2 linked regions of the Lytechinus pictus genome follow. The protein of the gene in region 2 purifies or fractionates together with the protein of the main gene of each other region. This does not show direct contact. Links are inferred from orthologs where the notes say so. Each region holds a gene or a part of one and is shown on either strand. Other genes may lie near its edges.

Region 1 (11,235 bases), on a different chromosome or scaffold from region 2:
TAGACTCTCTTCACTACACCAGGAAGGAGCAGCTTCAGTACAAGGTAAGTATCACCTTGAAAGGATTCTGTAATGAGAATATTAATAAAGCATAATGTAGACAAGCTGCAATAATAACTGTTAATCAGAGATGGAAGAACAGTAAGCCCAGTTATCATATCACATCTTTCCACACATCTCTCTTGTACTTACGTCCATCAGAGCCACTCTTTAGAAACCCAGCAACGACTCTGGTCTTCGCATGGTGGCCAGCCTGGTCTGCAATATTGGCACAGAGCTTGCGGTACTCTCGGAATGAATTGTCTGGATGTTGGGGGTCACTGCCGTCCCCTTGGTAAGAGATTTTGGAGGGGGTTGGTGATGGGGTGGCAGAGGAGGAGGATGCTGCAGCAGAACTCGATGAGGTGTGGTGAGAGGATGCGGGCTGGCTAGTACCTGTAATCACAAAAGAATTGATGAAAGAGTTCAGATTATTATCATAATCATAATCATGATTATCTTTATCATCACCATCATCATCATCATCATCATCACCATCACCATCATCATCATCACCATCAACATAATCATCATCACTACAACTTCACCCTCAATCGTCCCATCTTGTGCAGTTGGGCCTTTCGCCTATCAAGTCCTTCAAATTTGTCAAACAAGAAACAGATCAGCATATAACTTACAATATCTTCAAGTGAAATCTTGATTTAGACTGACTGTTCAGCTTTGTTGCAAATGTAGTTGCAATAATAGTTTACCAACCACTGATAGCACATTTATCGATGGGATAAATTCTTGCAGGAGGGGCTTGTTCAAATTAGCTTCAATGCAAAGACTATTATTCATATTTTGCAATTCAATCCAATTCAAAAACACTTCCTTGAATGTTGTGATAACATTCAAGGATTACTTCCTGTTTGGTAACATTAAATATGCCGGTACCTAGATCTTCTGATTTTTCTTTCAGCCCATATTCTTCATTTCCCTCTTAAAAGCCATTTTTTTACATTATGTGACTGAAATATTTTTATATCTAGCCAACATTCCTCCCTTATACAAATTGCTTTCACAAGACCTGCTTCTTCAGAATCTAGTAAGAATCATTTCACATTTCCTTACAGACTTACTTGATTTTGGATGTTTGGATGGGGATAAAACTTGACCGCCTGTTGTAAGGACACCTTGAACTGTGCCTTTCTTCTTGGTTGGCGTTTTCTTGGGCGTTTTGACTCTGGACAATAGCTCTGTGTATGAAAAGATCCAGAAAACAAAAAAAGTACATTTAAATGATTGTTTATTAAAATCATGAAACTAGGGTAAAGGAAGAAGAAAACAAGAAAACAGTAAAATGACAATGAGTGAGAAAAGGAAGAACAAAGACAAAGGGAGGGGAAGACTGCCTACATGAGGAAATATGGCCAGATTCCAAATTCACAAATATTCTCAGGTTTCAACTGCACAAATACATTGAACATTCTCATTAAGATCAATAATGAAAGGTGCTGGAAATGGCGGGATGATGTTTCAACGGCCAGAAGATAATATAAGCAATAGGCAAAAAAGGGGGAATAAACTAAAACGCATTTAAGTAGCTGACAAAAATTCAATGTCTGTAACTAACTACATGTATGAACAACTTATATTTTTCAGATTTCAGAAACATGTCAAAGTAAACGTGACATTCTCACCTTCTATGTTCTTTCGGATTAATTTCTTCTCCTCGTCCTCCATCTTCTCAAAACCATCCAAGTCGCTTGGATCCTCAATCTTCTTCGTTGTCGCCCTCGCCCGAACAAACGTCTCAAACACACAGTTGATGTGGAAATAGTTCTTCATCATGCCCCCATCGTCACTGAAAGGATTTGCTGTGAGTTTGGCAATCCTGGGTGACTTCTTCTCGATCCCCTGCTTGCATCGCTTGCATTTTGATGTCCCAAGGCGGGCATAGTCAACCATGAAGGCTTTCTCATCATCCATTCCTGAAGCTGTCTTTGACAAAAGAGTACTAACCCTTGAAGAGGAACCAATCAGACCTAGGATTCGTTCTGCTTCTCTTATGAATTTGAATGAAAGTGCACTGCTTCGATAGGACTTTGGAAATTCAGGTTGTCTACAGGAGCAAGTGTCATATGTTAGTTGAAGATCAACAGTGAATGACACCGAGGTGTGATAAACTAGATGTTGCTGACCATGCCTTGCAGAAGCTCCTTTTAATGCAGTCCAACCACGATGGAATGCGGTGTAAACCTTAGATCTCATAGATCCACATCACCTGAATATCACTGTGATCAAAGAGAAATAAAAAACATAAGATAGTTACCAAACCTTCTTCTTATTCCTCCAACTCCCTATCAAAATGATAAATCATCACCATTACACACATGCCTATTCTCCTATAAAAGCCCATTTTATTTGGTAAACTCTCTTGAAAGTGTTGGTTCCTCCAGTTTACTACATGTATTTATGAATATGTAGGACTATGTCCTAATACTGTTATCGTGTGAATGCCATGAAATAAAAACACATGTTACTAAGTTAGATGGTGAATTTTTGTAATTTTGTAATTTTTTTATTTTGGTGGGGGGGATAGGTTAGTCTATAAGCAGATTAGGCAAAAATAATGGTCTTCGCTAAAGTAGGCGTAAGTTCACAAATATAGATCTCACAGCCTGCAATGTATATTTATTCATAAGTTAAAAACATATGTACATGTAGATGTCATAGCCTATATCTGTAGATGATGTATCTCAGGCAGCATTATTCCAGATGCCGAAATAAAATAAAGATAAAGAACTTTATATGTAGGCCCTAGGACTGGTCTCTATCTACTAATGGTCACTGCGCCCACTTTCAATCTTTTGTTGTTGTTGTTCGTTGTGAGCCTGTTTCATGCCCTAGTAGCCTCCTCAGCTCAGTAGACACTTAGTGTTGAGAACTCAAAGGTAGAAAATGTGCTAGGTAATTATTTTGTTGGTAAGCTTTTAAAAACTAAGTTAAGAAATACAAAAGAAATTAACTGGGAGCTACAGCTCACAAGTTCTTATGAACTTTTCAGTAGTTTCCGTTTTTCTCTCATACATGTAATTTTCATTCTTTATACATATTTGCATATTGTTTTTTATATTGGTGAGAAAATAAATAAATTGAACTTGAACAAAAGAAATTAAAAGGAAATTATGTTGTCATTTTTTTTTATCTTATGTTAAATATTAAATGTCAAAATTAATCTTTTTCACCAAAAATTAGTATTACTAGCAAAATGAGAAATTTAAAGTGAGCTAAAATTAAAAAAGGCAAATGTGATTTTCATATGCTTTTATTTGCATAGAATTAAAAAAAAATTAATTAAAAAATATACAATTTTTTACAAAATTATTTTTAAATTTATCATTGTCTTGACTCTTGTACTTTTTTGTAGTCAACATCCGACATTAGATCTACACCCTTGCAAATTTTCATGGCGATCGTGTAATCACTAAAAAAGACACTAATCAGTCATTCATTCAGTGTTCAAAGTGAAATTGGCATGCTATCGATCAAACTCAATTTTAACAACATTACTTATCTAATACTAAGTTAGTCAAAAGTTACACTGCACTCTGTCGATGTCAGCTGTGAGTGTGACTTTTCTTTGCAGCCGGCCCGGCACTTTTTTTGTCGTCTTCTTCTTCTTCTTCTTCAAGCTACACTGCCTCCTTCAATCCTGGAGATTCTTGCAGTATTGTAGTACCGGGGACCGGCAGGTGCAATACACCGGGTGAACACCCTACTCTTTGACGAATAGTGTATATTGGTTTTAACGTGCATAGGTTGTGACTCTCCTATACACGGGACCAACATTTGCGTCCTTTCCGATGGACGGAGTGTTTTCCAACTGCATTCACACCCGCACTGAACACAGCGGCGAGGCACGTTAACACACAACGCTAGCATCAGTTTTTTTGTTAGACGTCTTCCGGCATGCTGCGGGACTCGAACCCACGCACGTTGAGATCTACGATCTTATCCGGAACAGGCGCTCTAACCGACTGAGCTACACCGCCTCCCTGTCTTAACTCTTAATAGGGTGTCTGAAGCCACACTGAAAAGTGTCAGCATAAGACAGGCTGATTTAGGGGAAAATATGGAACATTTTTTTCGGGAAGTTCAGGCTACTAGAAAAATGTGATCTGAATTGATTATTAACTTGTGTTTGGCATGTATGGAAAGAGAAAATTCAGGGGCTTCTTTTGACAGTAAGGACAAGTTTATATGATCATTTTGAATAAGGATTTAGAGATAAATTGCAAACCCTTATTTTTGTGTGTGTTGAGATTGCCATTTCCCCATGCGTTTTCTATGGGAAAATGAAATTTCTGTTTTGCACAATTTTTTCACTTTGTCGCAATTTTTCATTGTGATCTGGTTTCCAAATCTTTATAAAAATCATACCATCAGAAAGAGCATAAAAATCCTATTGGACTCTTTATGGACAAGTTTTTGGCATTAATAATAAATTTATAACAGCTCTCGGAAGCTAAAAATTTGGATTTGTGTGTGTCCATTTCTTAACTACACAGTATGGCAGAGAAATGCTGAAAATTGACCTAATTTCATTCTTCTTTTTTGCAGCCAATAATCAGATTTTTTTCAAAAATGTTACATTTCTGTCAGTCTGAAGGTCATTTCTCTTCAAATTCACAAAGAAAATGTGATATTTTCTTGAAATAAGAAAAATAATATTTTTCTCCAGACACCCTAGGCCTACTCTTAATTACAATACAATTACAAATACAAACACCATATCACGGTCAGAGTCACATCTTTGCATTACACTTAAACATATTGAAAATATATAGTAAAAAAAATCATTCATGCCGTTTTTGAAAACATTAAACATTCAGCTCTCAACTCAAGCTCAAGGAAACGTGAGATTGGCCATTCACTTGCGTGCAAAATAAATCGCACATGCCGGTAATTAAACCGGCATCCACTTTTTATTGCATAGGCGGCAAGCACCGAGTACCAGATCAGAAAGCACACTCTTCACCTCTTGCATTTTCTGAGGAGGAAAATCCTTACATTAATGATGGAAAACACTGAACACTCCAGAAATCGGCACGGCTGAAGTCCATGTAAAACTGATCTTTACTCCAGGAAAGCAGTTAGATTTATAGTTCACTCCGAGAGTTCAGTCAATGATGCATGGTGCGATGATACACCACTACTTGTCCAATCATGCCCAAAACAATAACGTAATCGCTAAATGCGTTTTCGCGTTGGTGTTTGGACGTGTACCCTTTGCGTGTACCAGCCAGCTGCGTGTGTTGCATTTAGTCTGCAAACACAGACTCCTATTTGAATAATCATGTCTAGAGTGAAGCTGAGGTGAAGCCTATAAACTTCAAACTCTTTTTCTGTCTCTTTGTAGAGCCATCCATAGTATTCAGTGAATATAGTCTCACTAATTCAGACTATGCATATTGCATATATGCACTATGCGAATTGTGAAATCAAAGGGTTTGTGTCTGCAGACTATGTTGTATGAATTGCCAATATACGTCGAGACCTTACCATGCGTTGCATGGAAGTTGTATTAATCAATTGCAATCAATTACTAGTCAAATTTTGGTTAGAAAATCAGTCACAATTAATAAATCTGGCAATTATTGCGAATCCACACTTGATTGCTGATCTCCTTCTTTTAACAAGTAGTTAAAATAATATCATTATCAATTGTAGATTAATTTAGCAGCAAAAATTTGCAACTGATTGCATGCAAGTTTCTTTAGCACCGCGGGCTTAAGCAACACATGAGCCGAGTCAAGGCCGGGTGGATAGGCTAGGCATAAGGTATCACAGGCCTAATTCAATCCCCATAGACTCGTGTGTTAAAGTGGTACCTAAAAAGAATTCCTTAAAAATAAGGAGGAAATTCGAGGGTTGAATGTTTACTATCAGTGGATAGGATAAATGTCTGACATTCCATATCTGACCAGAAAAGGGTACCTCGACCGGCTCATTTTAAAAATAAATCAGCATTTATGAAGATCTACGGGATCAAATTCATCACTTGAGATCGAGAGTCAAATGGCCCTAATTCTTCCGCCCGTAAAAATTTAGTTCCATAGTGGTTATATATCTTTCCAATTTGGAAAAAAAGAAGTTCAGTACTACCCACTGGGCAATTTGTTACCGATTACCAATTTTACCGGTAATATCACCCGGAAATTTGAGTAACACCAAATATTACCGTTAATTATTACCATGTTATTACCGAAATTATAATTCCTGTTGATACCTGTTACTGTAATTATCACCCTGATGAAACCTACATTTACCTAGTTACAACAGGGTGATGAGGGGTAATAAGGGTAATGTTGAATGAGGTGGTCTTGCACGATTTCCTAGGAACTTTTCTTTCCTATCTTTCCTTTACTTTTTTTAACTGATATAGATTGAACAAAGAAATTATTCTTTTTGAAAAAAAAAGGGAAAGCAAATTTACAAGGCAACAATAGTCAAAACTGACTAGTTTGCCTATTTAAAATAACAACAACAACAACAAACTTTGATTGGTTATAACATTGCAAACTTTAGTAATAAGAGCAATCTTACAGCAATCCCAGCGAAATTTTCAAAGTCCAAAAAATTACTGTTATCACCCTGATGAAACCAACATTTTACCCAGTTACAAACAGGTTGATAAGGGGTAATGGGTAATGTTGAAACGCTTCCATTCCCAGACAGCAAAGTATCTGGATCACATACGGTTCTTATCTGGGATATCTGGGTCCCATATGGGCCCACATGGAACCCAGATGAAAACATATACTTGAACCCACATGGTGCCCAACAGTGGCGTAACTACGGGGGGGCATGGGGGGGCACGTGCCCCCCCCCCCCCCCAATCGGCTGACACACAAAAAAAAAAAACGGGGAAAAGGAGAAAAAGAGGGAGAAAGGAAGAGGAACGTAGTGGGAAAGAAGAAATTATTATTCATTATAATTGTATATTGTATTACAATCATGTTGTTATTTTACATAGGAAACATTTTTATCATAACTTTATGAAACATAATTTGCTCAGGGTCCATGTCTTCACTGTTCCTGGTGCTCGCATTGTCTGTTTAAAGAGATATATAAACCTGTTGTACGAAAACCTCCCGTTTTCAAGTCAATATACACCAAATATATTATTGTTTTATATAGTGACATATGGTTCTTTTTCATGACTACTTAAAGTGATTGCCCCATGTTAAGGTCTTAATATAAAACATTTCCTGTCCGTGATTACGTTCGCTTCAGTGGATTGGTGAGATATGTCTGCTCTCCATGAATTCCTAAAATCAGTCCTTGAAATATCCCTTTTTCTGCATGAGTCTAAATATCCAAAATTTTCAGCTCGCGCTTCGCGCTCGCATCAGTTGGTTAGTGAAATACGTATGGTCTTCGTGAATTCCTACAAACAAGCCTTAGACTGCCCCGCTTCAGGTCTGAATTATCTAAATTTTCAGCTCGCGCTTCGCGCTCGCAATATTTGATTAGTGAGATGCGTATGATAATCATGATTACATTGACTACAAAAAGTGCTTCATGTGTTCAGATGTGATTCTAACAAAATCAGCAAGCACCTGGCACTCGCATTACATGACTGTAGTGAAATATGTATACTCTTAATGGGTTCCTTTAAAAAAATCCTGTTTTGGGTCAATATATACACAAATTTCAGCTCGTGCTTCGCGCTCGCATCATTTGGTTATTGAAGTACGTATGGTTTCGCTAATTCCTACAAACAAGCCTTAAATTGCCCCTCTTCATGTTTGAAATTCCTAATTTTTTAGCTCGCGCTTCGCACTCGCAATATTTGATTAGTGAGATGCCTATGTTATTCATTATTACAATGACTACAAGTGTTTCATATGTGTTTAAATGTAATTCTAACAAAATCAGCAAGCGCTTGGCACTCGCATTAGATGACTATGGTGAGATATGTATAATATTAAGAGATTCCTAAAATATAGTCCTTAAGATCTCCCTGTTTGTGATCAATATATACAAAAATTTTCGGCTCGCGCTTCGCGCTCGCATTGTTTAGCGAGACAGGTACGTATCATGATCACAAAAATTCGATTGTTAAGTCCCTTTTTAGGTCTGAATATCAAAAATTTTCAGCTCGCGCTTCGCGCTCGCATTATTTGATTGCTGAGATGCGTATGTTATTCATGATTACAATGACTACAAGTGCTTCCTCAAAATGTCTCTATTAGGTCAGAGTACCTGACAACTAAGTGACTTAATTTTTTGCTGGTGCCCCCCCAATGCCGTGACCCACGGTACGCCACTGGTGCCCAGATAGGACTCAGATGGAAACGAGACCTCCAACCCATGCGGAACCCATTAATATTGGGTAAATGGAGTAATATCAGATGGTAAAATCAGGAAAATGCTGGGAATATTAGTTACTCATGAATATTCATTACTACAATAAATGGCCAAAATTTTAGCTAATATAGCTGTAATAATTAATATGTTTATGCAATTATTCCACCCAGAAAATTTTCAGAAAAATGTGTAGTTTATATATCATATTAGTCATAATCATGACATTAATTTTAGAAAAATGTTTTAGGGTTGAATAATTGTTAACCATAATTTGTCAAGTGTTGTAAACTCGCTCAATATATAGAAGTAAATGACAGGGTTTGGTGGATAGGTGTAGGATAGGATTAGGATTAGGATGTAGGATTTTAGGATAGGATAAGATGATATGGCTTAGAGTATGGAGTTGTAAAAATGTGCTTCAATGACCCTAATGACACTAATTGTTTTTTTAATGAGCCGACATTAATTGGGTAATATTGGGTAAACAGAGTAATATGAGGTGGTGATATCATTAAAATAACTGGAAATATCGGTTACATCATACTGGGTAATATTGGGTAAATTGAGTAATATCGGGTCCGGGTAATAACGGGGAAAGATTGGTCTACTATTTCCCCGTTACTACCCACTGGTGTTACCGTGGTAATAACTACGTTATTACCTGTTACAACCCGGGTAATATCGGGTAAAATGCCCAGTGGGTAGGTGCCCTCCCTAGAATCAGTGTTAGATTCATAGGCGGATCCAGCTTTTGGCGAAAGGGGGGGGGGGCGCACTGCATGCCGAGCGCGCGGCGCACTTCACCGGCGCCCGAAAGGGGTAAAGTCTGACCCTGTCAAAATAATGCTCTTTTCAAAATGTATAGGATTTCCAGTCATGTCATTTTGCATGACCATACGCAGATAATATTTCCAGGGGGGGGGGCAAGACTCGAAAATTTGGTGCACGTACATCTCACATTTGCACATTTTTCATAGTTTTCATGAAATGTTAAGGGGGAAAAAAAAATCGTTTTTCACAACAGCAGATCGCGAATGTGCCCTCCCCCCCTTCTCCCTTGCTGCGTACGACCATTCCCTGAATTCCACTTAAACATATCTCATTATAACAGAAATATACATCAATTTAAAAATATAATCTTTCTAAAACATAATTATATAGAGAGAGATTGAAAAACTTAATTAAAGAAAGAAACAAGCAAAAAGTAACACAAATTATCATGCATGTTATGTGCGATTTCAAAATCTCGTGTATTAACCCTTTTATTGCGATGAGGCCAATACATTTGTATATTAATAGAAATACAAGCTTTTTTACTATATGTATATATATATATATATATATATATATATACACGGGGGCGTCGATCCTTTTTTTAAGATTTGAGGGGCAAAATCATGAATCAACTTTCCAAAGGCGCTCGATATCACACAAAACAAACAAATTCACACAAACACACACACACATATGCATATATATATATATTTATATGACTCATGAGATAGAAACACATATCTCACCAACAAATTAATGCGAGCGCGAAGCGCGAGCTGAAATTTTTTACTGACCTGAAAACAGGAAAAAGGTGCCTGTTTAGGACTGTTTGTAGTAACTCATGAGGAGGATATACATATCTCACTACACAGATAATGCGAGTGCCGAGGGCGAGCTGAAATTTCTTTATATTCTGACCAGAAAGCTTGATATTCTATGCATTTTTGGTACCAATGATTAAGATGGGTATCTAAAAAAAACAATAGATGCGAGTGCGAAGCGAAAAAAAAATGACAGTTTAATGGATGTTTGTATAATAAAGAACAAGATTATATCCAGGAAAAGATTATTGCAAATCGAAGCGGGAGTTCTTTTGACGTTTAGTCCTGAAAAAGGGACATTCTATTCACCTATTTAATCATGAAAAGTATGGGGTTTTGCTACTGACAGAAATGACGCGAGCTGAAAATTTTTATATTCCAATCTGAGAAGCGGATAATTTAAAGGAGAATGAAAGCCTTGAAACCAGCTGAATCCATATCAAAGAGAAAAATCAAAGAAACATATTGTTGAAAGTTTGAGGAAGATTCATGAATAATAAGAAAGTTATGAGCATTTGGATATTGAGATCACTTATGCCATGTAGATCCTCCCATTGGCAATGCGACCAAGATCTGTGATGTCACACACGTACAACTCCCTCATTACTTTAGTACTTATTTCACTTATATTCTCACTTTTATAGAGTCTATCACAAGGTGAGGTGTTCTCTTTATGAGAGGACAAGTACAGATGTTTCACAACATTATATCATTGATGAATCGTTTGTCATATGATTAGAATGAGCAAAAAGAGATGTTTTGGGGTATATTTTCAGCACTGGCGTAAATCCGTGTTGATGGGTGGGGGGGGGGGTGACTGAAATATTTTGGCATTTTTTTTGCAATCATGTTTTTAGATATGCAAGGAATTGCCATTGATATGTCCACAGTGGCGTACCGTGGGTCACGGCATGGGGGGGGGGGGGCACCAGCAAAAATTTTGAATCACTGCTGAGTGAGTGCGCTAGTGAGCGCGCTCAGTTGCCAGTTATACTGACCTAATAGAGACATTTTAAGGACAATGTCATTAAACTGATATGTATCTCACTGATCAAATAATGCGAGCGCGAAGCGCGAGCTGAATTTTTTTTATATTCACATCTAAAAAGGGACATTATAGTCAAATTTGTGTAATCATGATAGGTACCTGTCTCGCTAAACAATGCGAGCGCGAAGCGCGAGCTAAAAATTTAGATAATTCAGACCTGGAGTGGGGCATTCTAAGGTTTTTTTTTGTAAGAATTAACTAGGACCATACGTATTTCATTAACCAAATGATGCG
Region 2 (11,034 bases):
TTTGGGCGCACCCTTGTGTGGGGCCTGGGGCAGATCGAGAGTTGTAAATAAATAAATAAATAAACAAATAAATAAATAAATGAATAATTAAATAAATAAATAAAATAATGAATGAATGAATAAATAACTAAATACATAAATAGAATAATAAATGAATGAATGAATACATGAATAAATAAATACATAAATAGAATAATAAATGAATGAATGAATATACATAAATAAATAAATAAATAAATAAAAATAATGTATGAATGAATACATACATACATATAGGCCTACATACACACATAGATACTTACATAGATAGATAGATAGATATAGATAAAACCATTACCATCACCATATTCGTCGAGCAATGCACCTATAACCGAGAAACAATAATCAACGTCCATGCATGATAAACAAACAAATCACTTTGAAAAAAAAAATGCACATTAGCCTAATCGAATTATTCAAAAGAATGAGGGAAACCAAAGAGGTTGGATTTGAAATTTAAAGGGGTACTCCAGGCTGAAAATTTGATCAGAGTCGGACAAGGAAAATATGGCATTTTAAAGATTTACATTATCCTGGTGTGAAACAGTTCTAGGCATGTCTTCATGATTAATGAGCATACTGATGATGTCGTATCCCCACTTGTTCTTTTGTATTTTATTATATGAAATTAGGTTTATTCATTATTTTCTTTCAAGAACCAAAAATATTGAAATAACAACTGATTAATTGCATTAGATATTCACTGCTGCAACTTATTTCATTACAAGGGAGACATAATAATTCACACATGTATGAAAAAATGAAACAATTATGATTTCATTGTATAACGTAAGAAAAGGGAAAGTGGTAATGTGACATCAGCCCATCTAATGAATACTCATAACGAGTAACGACTTGCCGACGTCTATAGCTGTTTTTACAATATATTGCTAAAGAAAAACTTAAAAATTCAAAAACTTCGCTATTTGTTATCAGATTTTGATGAAATGTTTAGCCTTTTGCTACGTGAATTTTATGTATTTATAGATATAAATATTTTCAGCCCGGATCCTCCCTTCGCATCCTTTTAAGGTAATTTACTTTTATTTTTGGAATTGTTATGCTTTATAAATTATATCTTATCTCTATTGCCATTATCATCATTACCATCAGTAGCGTGAGCATCACCAATGATTGAATGGTATACACCAAATAAGTTACAATAAATACAAAGCTGTTTTACGGGCTCGGTGTAAAAATGGTAGAGGTAAAAATGGTAGAGGTAAAAATGGCAATGGTAAAAATGGCAGAGGTAGAAATGGCAGAGGTAAAAATGGCAGAGGTAGAAATGGCAGAGGTAAAAATGGCAAAGGTAAAAATGGCAAAGGTATAAATGGCAACGGTAAAAATGGTAGAGGTAATAATGGCAGAGGTAAAAATGGCTGAGGTAAAAATGACAGAGGTATTTGAAATGGCCAGTCTTAACCCCCATGCCAAAAAATAAAATAAAAAACCTCCATGTACAGTAAATTAAATAAGAAAGGTTCTTAGAAGAAAATAAGAATTATAATGTTGGACTAATGGAAAGGGTAACATTTTAAAATCATACTTTATATCTTCTGCACCAAATTGATAGCACTTGGGTTGGTATTTCTTTTATTTCCTGGACTTACATGCACGGCCTTCTCTAGTCAAATCGCTTTTATAATATTCAAATTTGAAGCACACTTTTGATCCCATGCAAGTATAATGCTTAAGGGGAAATTCACCCTGACATAAAGTTTATTGTAAAAATAACAGAAAATAATTAAAATGATATTGGTATGGTGAGGGTTTTAGGGAATCCATCAAAGATTTAAAAAGCTATTAGAATTTTATATTTTAATGGTGACGTCATTTGCGAGTAATTTTTCCCATATATGGTGTAATAAAGATGAAATGTCATTTTCTAAAAAAGAATAAAATGGTTTTTATATACCAAGTTATGTATTTCAACATATCATTTCACATCCGCTCCTGAAAGATATTTTTAGTGATCATGAACCACTGATTAAAATAGTGAAAAGTATACATTTTGGTGCACAGAATACGGGGCAGATACTCGTATATGACGTCACAGATCACTTAATTTTCTGCTAATTTTACAGTAAACTGTGATATCCCTGATTAGAAAGTAATGAAAAGTCTGAATGCAAAGACTATCACAAAGAACTGCCACATATTTTAGCCACGATTGTGTAACAGTGACGTTGTAATTGCAAACACACAAGTAAAGTTATGAAACTTAATATATTTCAAGCCTAGAACCAAGTTATTCAGTCGCGTGAACTATGAAGTGGCATGTCTGAGGAATGACTGATTATGATTTGGACTGATTCGAAGCTTAGATGTTAAATAAACCATTTGTCAGGGTGAACTTCCCCTTCAAAACACGTCGATAGAATGGTAGAAACGCCTATTTAAATCTCTGATTCGCTATACACATTTCCAAATTCATGCGGTAGCCATTACCATAGAAACTAGTTAAGGAACTTGACACTCTCTTGGACTAGCTGCAAAGAGGTATTGCTCTGAAAAACTTAACACTAATTGCTATTATTATATCATTTACATTAAACTATATACGTATCATATCAATTCTTTTCGGATCCATTATGATGTTGAAATATGAATAATCACCTTTATTACAGAACGTTTTGTTATTTTTCTGTTATCCAAGTTATGCAAGTGGTTCGAAGAAATCCCGAACTTGTCTATTTCAGTGTGTTAATGGTAGCGCACATAGGTGTTTACATTAAAATTCGTTTGGTATGTACCCGGGGTATGTATGTGTTGAAGTGCTGTTCTACTGTACGAACTGGCCAAGATAAATCCTTTAATCACTCACTAATTGAAATCATTTTGGTATGAAAATGTTTTGGTTCAATCCAATCATATCAACGATAAAGTCGGGGATAAAGTATTAACCTATATATGAAATGATGAAAAAAATCCAAATAATATGTTCATAATACTAATTTCGATAAGAGTCCATTCAAGGTCAATAATTATGACTGATATTAACTGGAAAGGCTCTGTCTTTTCCTTGTTGATGTAGCATGCTGTCATGATCTTAATCCCTGTCATTTTTGCCTCTGCCATCTTTTCCTCTGCCAGTTTTAATTATGTCATTTTACCTCTACCGTTATTACCTCCCCGGGGCAGTCATATTTATTGCTGTACACATGTGTGACCAAATTATTTCCAGACACCCCCTACACGAGTTTTCTTTGTGTGCAAGATAACCCCCTAAACAAGTTTTTGCGGGCTTCAACCCTAAACAAGTTGCCGCCAGAATATGACCCCTAAAAAAGTTTCACCATACGTTAACCCGTTTTTCAGGGCCGTTGCTTACAATCGGGAAGAACCCGAACACTTTTCAGAAACGAGGAGGAAAAGCTCGGCTAAAAAACATACCCTAAACACGTTTGGTCAGTCTTAAGAAAAGCTTTGGAAAAAATACCCTAAATACATTTGACCCCGTGATTGACCAGTCTTTCAAAACCACCCTTTTTGTTTAAAATCGGTGTTTTTTATACCCTTAACGAGTGCTCGCGCGGCCCGCGTCTAAAACTGATAAAAAACCTTTAAACGCGTTTTTTTTTTTGGTCACGCATGACTGGCCAACCCCCCCCCCCCCCGGATTACCTTTGCCATTCTCACTTGTCATTTTTGCCTCTTCCATTTTTACCTCTACCATTTTTGCCTCTGCCATTTTTACCTCTGCCATTTTTACCTCTACCATTTTTGCCTCTGCCATTTTTACCTCTGCCATTTTAACCTCTGCCATTTTTACCTCTGCCATTTTTACCTCTGCCATTATTACCTCTGCCATTTTTACCTGGCACCGTTTTCCGTGATTATTTCAATAGACTAGTCTATACAGGAAGAATCATTTTAATTTAGTGATGAAGATTTAAAAAAGGGTAAGGGGGCCTACATGTAAGAGATGCCCAGAGGTAAGAGAGGAAATAAAACAAGGGTCTAGAGCGAAATAAATTTAATTGCAGAGATACAAGAGACAGGTCCGCACTATAGAGGAAATGAAAGTGCAGAAAAGAATCAGAGAGAAAGAAAAAAGAAGGAGTCGGAATAAGAGAGAGGGGGAGGCCAACTTTAGTAATATGAGGGCTGGGAGAGATAAATCAGTAAAACAGAAAACAAATGGTTTGCAGGTCATTATTTTATTTTAAAAAATATTTTTGTATGAATCATTATTATATAGGACAGTGATATACATGTATTTCCAAATCAATGAAATCAGTAGCAATGCATGCATGGCAACACTCGGGGCGGCGGAACCGGGGGCACTTGCCCCCCTCCCCCCAAAAAAATCCCCTCAGGAAGATATGACCTTTTTTCAAAATGGAAAATGCCCTTTTTTTAATGAAATGTGCCTTTTTTTTAAATGAAATACCATTTTCGAAGTAAAACTTAAGGTTAGAAAATGACAAAATTTTTGGCTCGCGTTGCGCGCTCGCATCAATTACTGTTTAATAACTCATCATGTTTTTTATTACATAAATGCTAAGAATATCCAGTTTTCAGGTTGGAATAGCAAAAATTATCAGCTCGCGCTCGCTTTATTCGATTGGTGAATGCATGAGTCCCTACATGCAGTCATTAACAGGTTTCATTTTCTGGTCAGTTTATTAAAAATCTTTTTCATGTTTACAAAACTGCCGCGAAATACTGAGTGTCCAAAAGTTTGAGCTCGCGATTCGCGCTCGCAACATCTCCCAAGGATGCCGTTTTAACAGTGATTATCATTAGCGTCATAACTTAACAAAAGCGAGTTTTCAACTTCAGATTTGATTTTTTTCCAAACCACTCGCTCGCTGCACTCTCTCACGGAAATATAATAAAGCCTAAATATATATCTTATCAATCAGAAATTAATTCAAAAAAGCTTTGCTAAACTTTATTACTACTAATTACTCTTCTATGATAATATGATTATATCAGAAAGGCCATTGGCCTATGCTGGCTCCCATATTCTCATTTATTCTTTTGTTAAATGTATTTCTATTTTTGTATCTTTATTTGTATATAGTGCATTCTTTGATTTGTATGTTGTATGTTTTTTAATGAGAATTTGGAATAAATAAATGAAATGAAATGCTGATATCCGTAATTTGCATCAAAATGCCCATTTTAACATGCCCTTTTTTGGTTTTGCATCCCCCAAACGAAAATTCGTTCTGCCACCACTGGTAACATTTTTTATTTTAAATAATTCATGATAGTTATCTAATGAAAACCGAGAAACAATAATATGTATCCATGTACTTAATGATGATCCCTCTATTTTTAGATTATATTTTACAAAAGTATTATATTTCGTTAAAATTATGTTGTTAAATAAATGGGAATAGAGAACAATGGTAGACGTAGCTATAATCATGATTCCCCAGAGCTAACATCCCTTTTAGAAAATTTGGTGAGGTCGAAAGACTCGAATATATATCTATATAGAGAGAGAGAGAGAGAGAGAGAGAGAGAGAGAGGGGGGGGGGGAATTAAGCATGTGCAACAGCTTTGGCAACTCTTTTATTCAAATATTTTGTGAAAGAAATGGATGAAGAGAACAATGGTAGGCGAATGTTTAAGCTACGCCTCATTTCATTGAAATATATATATATATATACATATATATATATATATATATATATATATATATATATATATATATATATATATATATATATATATATATATATATATATATATATATATATATATAAGACATCAGAAATGCGAAAAAAATTCACGAGTAATGCAGTTTTTGAAGTGCCAACAGTTAAGTTCTTTAAGTTCTTTAAGTTCTTTAAGTTCTTTTAAGTTCTTTTAGTTCTCTCTCTCTCTCTCTCTCTCTATATATATATATATATATATATTTCAATGAAACTTGCTAATTCCATAGCTTATAATAATACCTTTTCAATCACTTTTTTTTCATGAATATGAGAACACAATGAAAAAAAGGAGAAATGTATATATAGGCCTAATATTCAAAATCACTGATGTGAGGCCACTTTTCAAAACCATAAATTATCCCGTAAATCATGTCCAATAAATTACAGAGGGTAAAAAAAATATATATATAAAATCTGCGTCCTTTTCTTTCCAACGTCCCGAAATTGCGAAAGAAACGTTCGGCGTTCCATATCATGTTGCAACACGTTTGTACATTTTCCTTTGTTTACCGTTGTTCACTTTAATATTTGTGACAGGATCGCGATCGAGGACTCTTCTTTGACTTGAACTTGTATTTCCGGATTTCCGTACGAACACTTTAACTCCTAAGAAGCCGGGTCAGAACGAAAATTCAAGATGAGCAAGAGAAAAGCACCAGATAGCAACAATCCTAACCAGGAATTTGTCGACTTTCTTGTCGGTAAGCTTAATTCGAGGTGTCCATCCAAGTCTTTTAATAATATTAATAGCTCCAGCTGCAGCGCGACCGGGGCAACGGCCCGGTATCGGCACCGTACGGCCATGACGGCGGAGGCTCGGAGCTGCAGTCGTGGCCTGTCTGCAGGCTAGAATCAAAACTGAATCTGTCCCAGCGTTGCATTGAATTGTTTCGCCCACTGTATGTTAAAGTGGCATGCCGTTAAAGTTGGGGATACAAATACGAAAATATTGTATTTACATAATAAAGATGATTAGGCCCTGGGGGGGGGGGGGGCACTCGGTATCCCTGATAGCAGAAACTGGTAAAAATGACGTCATAATTACGTCAGTTTAACGACGAGAGTCACGTCATTTTGACGTCGTATCATGACGTCTTATTGACGGGATCTTGCACCCGCGAATAACGTCATTATGACGTCGTATATTGACGTCATTATGACGTCTCCAAGAGTGACTACGACGTCTTAATGACGTCTTAGCAACGTTTTTACAACGTTTTCCTGACCAGTATCAAGGGTCAGAATGACGTCGTGTATTGACGTGATTATGACGTCTTCGAGAGTCAACAACGACGTCTTAATGACATCCGTGTAACGTGTTCCTGACCGGTTTTAGACGTCATATTGATGTAATTATGACGTCTTTAAAAGTCATCTACGACGTCTTAATGACAACTTTGCGACGTATTCCTGACCAGTTTTAGACGTCATATTGATGTAATTATGACGTGTTTATAAGTCAACTACGACGTCTGAATGACGACTTTGCAACATATTGCTGACTAGTAATAGACGTCATATTGACGTCGCATATTGAAATGAATATGACGTCTTTTGGAGTCAACTATGATATCTTAACGTATTCTGACGTGATAATGACCTAAACATTAAATTCTACATGCAATGTACATACACACATCACTTCAAAGACCTTGTCATTGAGGATTATCTATATTTGGTGAATACTGAGGTGGTCTGACAATGTCCAGCATTCCCAGTAACAATATAATGATCCTCCATGCCAGGGCCTTGCATAACTTGTCTCGGTCTCAAGAACATGACCCCCCCCCCCCCGAAAAAGAATATATACAAAAATGGAAAACGAAATCAAATACATGTACGCATTTCAATTACGAAATCGTGGCAAATATTCTATTAATAAATAAAAGTTGCATAACATATTACCAGCAAAAAAAAAGGAATACAAAATGTTGAAAACTCTAAATAGATTGAAAAAAAAAACACTTTTCTATGAAAATGCAGTATTAGGGTCAAAGGAATGAAATTACAATGTTTGTTATACCAATACATACAATTGTACATGTATAAATACACATTAATACATAACAGAGGCATAATGATCTCCAAGAATAAAGCTTTTTCGTTGAAATTGTAATTAAATATACCTTCAACTTTAGACAACTATGTAATGTAGGTAAAAATATACTGTATGTAAAAAAAAATACCCGAGTTGGAATAGTTTCAGGATTTATGGAAGCTCGCATTTGGGTGAAAGAATCATACATGTACATTAATTCTTATGAAATGTTTGGGTTGTATTACACTATCACTTAGGGCCAGGGGTAAAAGACAGTAGTTGCAGCAAACAATTATTTCTTCGGAAAGTCTCTTAAATTAAGGTTAATTGTCAAAATATTGTACATAATCTAGATCTGGGCCCTGTCTTACAAAGAGTTACGATTGATCCGATCAATCATAACTCTATGGAAATCCATCAGTGTCATAATTTTTTCTACGAAAAATTTGCACAATGTCCTTTGTATGCAAAGAGAAGCGCAGCGAATTTTTGAGAAAACAATGAATGCATGAACATACATCATAGCTAGAAAATATTTTGAACAAACATGCTTAATAGATGTTAACGTTGCTGACCGTCCATAGTTGCGATTGATCGGATCAATCATAACTCTTTGTAAGACGGGGCCCTGGTAAATTAATGTAAACTTGTATCTTTGTAAAATCATGAATTTTGATCTTAAAATCAATAATTCTGATGATCACTAACACAGAAAAGCATATGTGGGACAGGACAGTGTATTATGATTGATTTGAAAAATATCCGACATTTGATAGAATTACATGCTTATTTTGCTCATTTCTCAGCAATTACACATTTTCTTCCCGAGCTTTTTGGCACACATCTTTTATATATACATACACTTTGCTGGTAATTCTGTTGGATTCTGTTCGAACTCATTTTAAGATAGTTACTACTAGAGGTGCGCTATTAACTTAAGGCAACTATGCAATGTAGGACAAAATATACTGTATGTAAAAAAAAAAAATACCTGAGTTGCTAAGTTTTCAGGATTTATGGAAGCTTGCATTTGGGTGAAAGAATCATGCATCAATAAGTCTGATGAAAATAGTTTGTGGAACTGTTGTATTACACTATCACTTAGAAGGAAAAGACAGTAGTTGCAGCAAACAATTATTTCTTGAGAAAATCTATAAAATCAAAGTTCATTGTCAATATATTGTACATAATCTACATCTGGTACATTAATGTAAACTTGTATCTTTGTAAAATCATGAATTTTTTAACTTAAAATCGATAATTCTGATGATCGCTGTAAACACAGAAAAGCATATGTGGGACAGTGTATTATAATCGATTCGAAAAATATCTGACATTTGATAGAATTACATGCTTATTTTGCTCATTTCTCAGCAATTACACATTTTCTTCCCTACATGTAGCTACGTAGGCTTTTTATGTGAGCTGAGAGATTTCATACCAGATTTCCTTTGCTTGATAAAGTTCTTTAATATGATAGTCTGTGTATCAGCATAGCATGTGTTCAGTGTTTTGAACCCACTGGAAATTGTGCATCATATCTTTATGTATGGAAGTCATTTTGCGTCTGCGGTCTCCATGGTTTTGTCAGGATCTATGTGTTGACTAGACCAGTCCCATATTGATATTTTCATGCTGTGTCACTTTGGAAGGCCGTCTCTAATTGGTTGACTGGTGAGTTGGCAGATGCACAGCCCATCCCACTTTTCAATTATATCATTACGTAATCTCTAACATGTCTAAGATATCCACAAGATCAAGAGGCCGTTTGCACTCGGCTAACGCATGTACACAATCCTCTGCTTCATCATTAACTGGATCTAAACAAAGCCCAGCATACCTAGATCATATTGATACAGTCGTTCAAAGAGCGGTGGCCGTGGTAATGGAACGCGAGAGACAAAAACTCAATGATGACATGGATAAGCGCGAAAATAAATTGCGTGAAATTCTTGATGAAAAGCTCACTAGTCTACACGTTCTTGAAATATCTATCGATACTAAATTGAAGCAACTCCGTGATTTTGAAAAATCGGTTTCTGATAACATGACTAACACCATAATGCTTTGTCAAATAGGCTTGACCACATCGAGCAGTACTCCTGTCGCAATAATATCCGTATCCGTATGAGATTGTTCGAAATGTAGCAAAGCAGATTGGTATCGATCTTACTCCATGTGACATTGATCGATCCCATCACCTTTGCCGACCAACTAGCAGTCATGATGTTCAACCCAAAGGATCATACCCCGGCGTGGCCCTGTAATGCCAACTTAGCAGCTCCACCAATCAATGTGAAATTCACTTCATACAGGCTGAAACAAACGATGATGAAAAATAGAGGAAAATGAAAATGCTCAGGAACAGATGACTGGGTGCAGGCAGGCAAGGCAGTTCAGGTGGGATGAAAATTTATTGGCAGGACACCTTCCGTTTCAAATTACAGCATCTGCAAAAATAACAGAAGAGGAGAAACATAAAAACTTTTTCTACATAAACTATTTATTAATCTTCATTAAAAATTAGATGGTTTCAATATTAATTTCCAATTTATTTTAAATGATTAAAAAACGATGTGGGGTTTGTTACATATTTTATACTTCAAATATTAACATGTTAAGTCAAGTCGGGGGGGGGGGCATGATGCCCTCAAGACCTTTAACCATCTCTGTATAAGGAAGGGAATTTTAGAATCAATTTATTTGACACATAAAACATATTATTTTTTTATAATTACAATTTTAATTCATGCCTTTTTTATGTGTTTTAAATGGTTATGGGGTAACCAGGACTGTCAGGACCGAGAATTCGAACTTCGAGGCTGAAATACAGCCATTCCCTATGCCTGATTTGGCTTAAATTCAGGTCAAGGATCAATTAAATATATATTTTGAGAAAAAAAATCTGACAAATTTAGAGGTGGAATTAGTTTTCTGGCATCGCGAGATCGACCAATGCAAAATTTTATTAGCGCCAATTTACCATCTAAACTTGTCATTGAAATTAGAACGTCCAAACCGATCTAGTACCAGTACTAGCACAATGAATCAATCAGCTATGCATGTGCACCAATTCTGTATTTCTTGCATACGTACGTCACTCGAGTTATGGTTCATGTCATTGCGTTATATAGCGTAGGAATTGTAAGAAAGTGATCCTTCAAAATTTTTACCTTCCAACAATTAACATTTTTTAAGCCTTTGTATGCATTTAGAGTACAAAAGCTTACAAATTGGACAAATTAAATGTTTGCCCCAAAATTATTGTGGGAAGGGTGGATT

What was found. Proteins that work in one complex are often made in the same cells at the same time.
Region 1: the proteins of DNA polymerase beta-like (region 2) and DNA ligase 3-like purify together in Homo sapiens (affinity purification with mass spectrometry; 3 studies listed by BioGRID and IntAct, counting the BioPlex papers as one, with this or other methods). This does not show direct contact. The link is inferred for Lytechinus pictus from reciprocal best matches to the Homo sapiens genes POLB and LIG3.

The regions. Positions count from the first base shown.
Region 1 is NC_087258.1:1,784,170-1,795,404, reverse strand, and holds the start of DNA ligase 3-like, read right to left. Parts: upstream 5,226-11,235; 5' UTR 5,056-5,225; exon of another isoform or gene 4,752-5,055; intron 3,671-4,751; exon of another isoform or gene 2,277-3,670; 5' UTR 2,254-2,276; coding exon 1,683-2,253; intron 1,239-1,682; coding exon 1,122-1,238; intron 436-1,121; coding exon 193-435; intron 68-192; coding exon 1-67. UniProt on the Homo sapiens protein: Isoform 3 functions as a heterodimer with DNA-repair protein XRCC1 in the nucleus and can correct defective DNA strand-break repair and sister chromatid exchange following treatment with ionizing radiation and alkylating agents.
Region 2 is NC_087262.1:20,690,132-20,701,165, forward strand, and holds the start of DNA polymerase beta-like, read left to right. Parts: upstream 1-6,157; 5' UTR 6,158-6,351; coding exon 6,352-6,415; intron 6,416-11,034.